Linked DNA regions of Canis lupus familiaris. The protein of the gene in region 2 interacts with the protein of the main gene of each other region in a pairwise test. Links are inferred from orthologs where the notes say so. Each region holds a gene or a part of one and is shown on either strand. Other genes may lie near its edges.

Region 1 (3,653 bases), on a different chromosome or scaffold from region 2:
TCTCGGAGGTTGTTGATCTCTTCAGAGAGATCGTCTCGCCTTCGTTCGGCCAGGTTGGGGATGTACTGGCCCCTTGGGGCGCTGCGTGAGGATGAAGAAGAGGAAGAGGAGGAGGAGCAGGAGGAAGAGGAGGAGGAGGGGCCGTTGGGGGGAGGAGGAGGAGGAGGAGGTGGGCAGTCGGGCCCCAGGGTGAGGGTTGGCGTGGGAGGAGACCTCCCAGGTGTAGCTTCGCTCCTGTGGGGATGGAGGCCCTGATCCTGGCCTCCTCTTCCACCCTTTCTTCGTTTTGTTTTCAAAAGCTTTTTGTTTCTGTAAAGGAAGATAAAAGCAGAAGTTTATCATCCACGTTCAAAGCAGCACACTACAAAAAAGATTTTAGCATCTAAAGTAGCCACTAAAGTACCTTAAATACGTGAGTATTTAAAGTAGCCATTAAAATACTTTAAATACATGAGTATTTAAAGTATCCACTAAAATACTTTAAATACATGAGTATTTAAAGTATCTCTTTGCTCTACTTGCTTACATTAATATTTAATAAACAAACACAGATCTTGCAAAAGGGAGAAACAAGTTAATAATCAATTAAGACAATAGGTAGTAACAAAAAGCACCCTACTTTTTAACGTCCAAATGACCTTTTTCCTCATCAAATGTCACCTATTATGATTCAACAACAATGCATACCGGTATCAACAGCAAGTTTACCTTCACTGACCGTAAAAGAATGCGGAGACATTCCAAAATACCAGTTTGGATCAGGAGGGCACAGCAAGAAACTTTCAAGTCAAAGATGGAGACCAAATTAAAAACACAAAGCCAAAATGATAATTGTTATTAGACGGGTTACCTGAAAAAGAGCTAATAATCCAGCCAATAGGGAACCAAAAAGAAGGGTGGGGGATTTAAATCACACTGCCTGTATTCATCAGCCGGGGGAGGGAAGAGGGCACTACCTCCATGGTGAAGGTCACTAACTGATTATCAAAACAAACAACAACAACAACAACAACGGTCACGAAACCCACAAGATTGTCTAAATCCAACATAATCTGATTTCCCAGAGAGAATTCCCTTCGGGACAGAAGTGGCACCGAGCAGCAACGTTGTGTATCAGCCTCTCTCCTTATTATGCAGTTCATCAACAAATGTTAATTGATGCCTCCTAGGAAGAGCTAGGCTATTAAATGGGACAGTCAAAAAAGCCCAAAAAGAGAATACCTCAAATTTACAGTATGGATTTAATTAGGTAATGCAGGTAAAGCAGTGAATACTTAACAACTGTTAGCTGATATTAATAAGAAAGGTAACTTTCTGTGTAAAGAGGCTAAGATTAAAACAGGGAGGGCCTGCAACTATGGCAACCTAGGCAGGCATTTCCCACCTAAAGACATTACTTTTTTTGGGGGGGGGGGGAGGGGGGAATACGCTGTTGGCCAAACAAATCCAGGGCCTCATTTGATTTGCAGGTCACCAGTTTCCAACTTCTGGTTTTTAAACAAGATTTGTCAGCACAGTCCCACCCAAAAGTTTATAATTTAGAGCAGGATAGGGCTGTACTCCTAGGTGGTGAGTAGCAACATGGGGGGCATTGGGGGTTTGGGGGATTAAGGTCTTAATTATGGGTATGGTGACAATAAATCACACATACAATAAATCCAGCAGTGTTTATGTACTTCCTAAAATGAGGGTTAAATGCATTTATAGTAACTTAATTTTAACTTTTTATAATTTTTAAATGAGCATTAAGTTCTCATATTTGGAAAACTTTAGGAAAGCGCTCAAAAGTTTAAAACCATAATTTGTAAAAGCAGGCAGACTGCCCATTCACTAAATTTTAACTTGGCATTCCTGGTCACCTGTTCTTCTCTGACCCATCAAGGCAATAATGGACACTAAATTAATTATATTAATTAAAGCCCACAAAGATAAATGTGTTATTCAAAGAAGTTATGTGAAAAATAGCTAATATTTCAATCAATAGGGTACAAGAAAAAAAAATGAGGCCCTGGATTAGTCACAAAATAGTGTGATTTTGATTTATTAAATTAAAATCTTTATTTTTTTAAATTAAAAGCTTTAATGTCCCATTAAAAAACAATAAACACAAGTCAGGTGACTCAAGTGCCACTTCTGTATCTAGACATTAATACTTAGAAAACTTAGAAAACTTCTGGAAAGGCCTTCATAGCTCGGCCTGGCGTTGCCTGACCCAGGTCAGGAAGGTTAACAACCCACATGTCAATCACAGTCATTGGGGGGAGCTTTACTGAGGTTCCAGTCTCATGGTTTTAATATCTGCAAAACATAATAATAGGACAGATATAACAACACATTCAGAAATCAGCAAACAATCATTGTATATTGTTTAAGGAATCAAAAGATCAATAAGGGCTTAAAATGCAAATGATTTTAGTAGACAGGAAGGTAACATAAAAGTGAGAAGAAACTGGAGTTAAGACAATAAGGAGTGGGCTGGTGACTATGTAATTTAGGGATGCATGTCCCCTCCCCAGAAACATTCAATTCTTTAAAATATTTTTAATCCAGTGCTGGTCAAATAAATTAAGGGCCTTATTTGACTTGCAAGGTCACCAGTGTGAGACCCCTGACCTTTACCAAGATCAGGCATCAGGTACCCACCCCTGGGATTTTTAATTTTGGTGTGGGATTCTAAATCCTAAAGGAGATAACTGCCCAGAGAAGAGTAGTGTAACCTTTAAAAAACATAGGATAGTCGGCAGGCAGGTTAACATTCAATGTAAATAAAGCTTAAAGATATTTAAATAGCAACTAGAGCACCAGTTAATTTGGGAACAGGAGCACTGTGACTTGATTTGCACCTCCCACCCCTTACTAGGGGCTGGATTGTGGAGGTCAGGCCCAAAGGCCCCATTCCTAAAACCTGAAATGACACACAGTACTGAGCCAAGTCACATGGGATAGATGTCACCTTTACACATGAAAAAGAATCCAGTGTTAGTCTATATAGGAATTAAATACATTTGATTGACCTTTGACTCTTCTTGAAGACTTCTAAAAACTTGTTCCCCAAACACACCAAAAAGTAACAGTAGCCAAAAAACACTGCACATTAAACATCTCATTAGAAAATGACACTTCATTAAGCAACTCTTAATTGCTTTATATTTTCAAATGTCCCAATTTCTTTTTTAGTACCATGTATACTATTTGTGAAATGCAAATTATATTAATATGCATATTTTTACCATTGTTTTGAACTTTAAAAAAAACATAGAATTTCGAAAGGAAGTGGGGGTAGGGTGACGGGGGGGGGGGGGGGGGGGGGGGGCTGGGGATTAACTGAAAGCTGTAATTACCACAAGTATAAATACATAAAGATATGTAAATTGCATATTTATTAGGGGGTGGGTGACAGATATTTGGGAGTCAGAGTCCTGGCTTATGGCTTACAATATATGAAACCAGGTTTTAAAATTTCTTCATTTTATTAGAAACATAAACATGGTACATCTGACTGGAGGTAAGGCATCAGATGTTTTATGTGTATGTTTTATAATGCCAGCTAAAACCCTCCAATCTATTTTTTAATGTAACCACTTTATGTTACATTATACAAAATGTAAATATGACAATTATGTACCATTGTGAAGTAGTCCACTCACCCTGAA
Region 2 (3,753 bases):
AGTTGTGGACCAGATAAAATCTCTTTTATCAAAATGTCCCAAAACACATGTAGAATTCCCTTTCTTAAAAAAATATTAAAAAATCCCTTTGGATGAATTATACAATATGGAATAAATGCTGAAACAGAAACCAGACTGTAAACAACTAAGAAACCCTGTGTTAAGTAGCTTAAGTTCAACCAAAGCTGTTTTCACTGAACTTTCCCCTCTCCCTCGGTGTTCAATTGCCCTGCTCAGTCCATTTCTTTTCCATTCTAAGGCAGCTCGAAACAGTGACAGGGAGTCAGTCACAAGTAATCCAAAGGATCACCCAGGACATCAGCTCTGATTAACTCCGCCTAATGGCAAACAGTTATCTGCTTCAGTTGTAGATTTAGGGATGGAGGGGTCGTCAGGGGAAGGATCTGCTGCCATCCCATCATGCACCTTCATCTATTAAGTCTTCCCCTAGAATCTGAACACCAGCTACGTGTTAATTAATCTTACTTCCTACTGATCAGTAGGCCCCATAATAAAGGTGGGAGAAAGAGAAGAGAAATGGAGGGTAATCTCAAAAGTTTTTAGGTACTCAGAGAAAGTACATCTTTCTACTCTATTTCCATTGCACAATAAAATTACATATAATTTGAAAAGGGGAAGAAAAGAAGTAATTAAAGAATAAAGATTAAAACACCAGAGACACATGCAACATTGGGGACAGTAAACAGGTTAAGAATTCCTTGTATCCTAGGGTTCACTAGTGTTGCTGAAGCATTCATCAGCACAGGAATAAATATTATTTGAGATAAATGTCATCTGGAAGAAACGACAACAATGTAACTAGTTTGTCAGGCTAAATGAAAGATAAAGCAAATAAATACCTTTCCCAGGAATCTACTTTGTTAGGATATGACAGGCCATATTTGTCTCAGGGATAACAAAAGATCAGTCTACTGATGTCCCAAGACTGTATTCCCAACAACTATACAAACCATATTTCTAACAAAACTAAAACTGAATGCCTCAAATTTAATGCTTCCTCAATGTAATCATTATTGCTGCAAAGAACCTGACTTTAAGAAAACAACGCTGGTTACCCATGTGACTATATAAAAGCAACTGGACTTCTAGATTACTCAAGGATAGACACCAAGTGAGGGTTGAAGGTGACAAAAAAAATAGTCCACTGTCAACTAAAGTTAATATTCTACAATTCAAGAGTCTACAAAAGTACAGAATTCCACCATAAGGTGGCTTGTCACATGGACTTAAGGGACAACGGGAATCAATTCTCATCACCTGAAACACTGTACAACCCAGGTGTTTGATTCTTTGTGAGTACGATGATCCATGCATTTTCTACCACTTGGAAACAACGGGCTCAGCCTTGCCAAAATGCCCCACGTATATGCTGTATGCCTGTCTCGTGGTCCATTTTATACTGCTCACTTATGTGAGCAATGTTAGAATTGGAAAGTGGCTCCCTGCACACAAAACAGTCTAAACCACTGATGCCTTTTCAAATTACTAAACCAAACAAGCTAATCACATCAAGGAACAGTAAACTCGGCTTGTATTCAAAATAATAGAACTAGGAAAATATAAGCAAGAAAAATACTATCGTTTCATTTCCAGACCGAGCAAATAACTATACATAATCATCAATCATTCAGGCTTACATTCCAATATTATCTTTATTACTTTTGCAAACATTGTAAAAAAAACAAAAAACAAAAAACAAAAAAACAGTTTAAATCTCTAAAGAGTGAAAACAAGTGAAATGAGGCCGGTATTTCTTGCGAATGGAGGTATTACAGGACAGAAGGTGCTAAAACCTCCCAAAGCACCAAAGGTGGAACCCAGCTCCATCTTCAAACAAAAAGAACCCCAACCACAGAGCAGCCCTGCAGTAGGAACCACGGACTCAAGTGTCTTCAGACAACCCTGCAGGAGTGATGACGTAACCTGAAGCTTGGTTTAAACAGAGAAAAGTACAGTAGATCAAAAGAAACAGCAATGCAAACTAGAGCTCAATTACATTGCAGCCACTCCCTGATCCCGATTCCCCCAGCTCACAACTTTTCCCGGTTCATACTTTAAGCATCCCAGTCTCTTGGTGTCAATACCTTTTCTCTTCCTTGTCCCAGCTGCTGGCAGACATGTGAGCAAGACGCCCCTCCAGGAGTACGGAAAAGGTAAGGGAGACTTCCCGGTCATGAGAAGTCAGGCGGCTCATAGCCCTTCCCCCAGGAGCAAACACGATTTGTAACAGAGGCCCTGCTGGATGGACACGTTCTGCTCCTAAGCACGTCGGAGTTCAAGTCTTCAAGCAGCGAAGGTAAGCGCCCTGCTCTAGGATCCCCCATTCACTCCTCCGAAGCACCGGCTGCCGCAGCAGCAGAGGAACGAAGCCTCTCCCGTCCCCTCAGGAGTCCACCACACCTCCCCGCGAGCTCCAATTCGCCTGCGTTTCCAAAAATGGGCGCCATCACCGGAGCTGTCCTCCGCTGGGCCCTCAACCGCCTGCCCTGGAAGTTTGTCTTCCCCACATTCACTAGCCCGCCAGCGTGGGTGAAGGATGGGGCTGCAGGGTGCGCGGGGGCTGGTCAGGCGCACCCCGGAGCCAGCTCGGAGCTGCCGCAGGGTCCGGCCCGCCGGAGAGCCACGCGGGGCCCAGGGCTGGGCCTGGCGGTGCTGGGGGAGCCTGCTCCAGCCCGCAGCGCCCGCCGGCCTCCGCTCGCAGCGCCCAGCCCAGCCCAGCCCAGCCCAGCCGCAGCGAGCGCGGGGCGGGGCCGGCGGGGCCTGCGGGGCCGGACAGGGCGGGGCGGGGCGGGGCCGGCGCGGTGGTCACGCCCGCAAGCCCCGCCCCCCAGCCCAGGGCCGCTGGGGCGCTGCCCCGCACAACCCAGACCCTGCCCTCGACCCCAGGCAACACTGCAACCTCACCCATTTCCACAAGCTTACATTTAGTTCGAAACATGTCTTTCTGTAGAAAACAGATGCTGCCAATTCTGTATGATTTCAACCTAAGACCTACATAGAGTATATGAGAATTACGTGGCCAGAAAAGTGCTCTTCTCCTGGTTAACCATGTGTGAACTGTGCTCATAGAGTAAAAGCACTCTCCCCACTTCGTTCACTATATACTGGGCGTCAACGACCCGATTTCCTCAATTCTAACTCACTCCTCCACTTCTATCCCTGGTGACATCATACTTGAAACTCCTTCTCTTCCTTCGAATAGATTGCAGTGAGAGTAGTAAACACCCGTAACTCTATTAAACTCCTTCAACCTCCAAACTGAGATTATATTCTCTTCCCAGTCTGGGAAAACCATCTTAAATGGCCTCATTAAACAGAGAAGCTTGTGTTTTTAAAGAAGCATTACACGGGCCCCAATAAAGTCCTGGGCCTCAGATTTGCCCTGCGTCAGGTGGTACACTCAGGGGTTTAACCTGTCATTATATCATGCTTATAGGGCAGCCTTTAAACGCACAGCAGGAGCTCATGGTGGGAATGAACCCTGTGCAGTAAATTGTAGATTACCCATTTTCCAAATCAAATTTTAGTTCCAATCACTTCCAGACCCTATTGTATTCAGTCATTTCAACCTCACGTTAATATTAGGCTACATGAAACATCATTGGGAATAGAAATATGGATGAAGTTAGATAAAGTCTGCTCACTGACAAATATAAATTATTATTACCTACATTTTCATTTCCTAATACATTCACCCTAGAGCGGTCTCAGGCTGATAGGGCAGACGACTTC

The links.
Region 1: the proteins of SIAH1 (region 2) and PEG10 interact in binary tests that used the Homo sapiens proteins (3 or more experiments, as listed by UniProt). The link is inferred for Canis lupus familiaris from reciprocal best matches to the Homo sapiens genes SIAH1 and PEG10.

Annotation. Positions count from the first base shown.
Region 1 is NC_049235.1:20,084,100-20,087,752, reverse strand, and holds part of PEG10 (retrotransposon-derived protein PEG10), read right to left. Parts: intron 310-3,653; 5' UTR 189-309; coding exon 1-188.
Region 2 is NC_049223.1:65,986,779-65,990,531, reverse strand, and holds the start of SIAH1 (E3 ubiquitin-protein ligase SIAH1), read right to left. Parts: upstream 2,694-3,753; 5' UTR 2,197-2,693; coding exon 2,106-2,196; intron 1-2,105. UniProt on the Homo sapiens protein: E3 ubiquitin-protein ligase that mediates ubiquitination and subsequent proteasomal degradation of target proteins.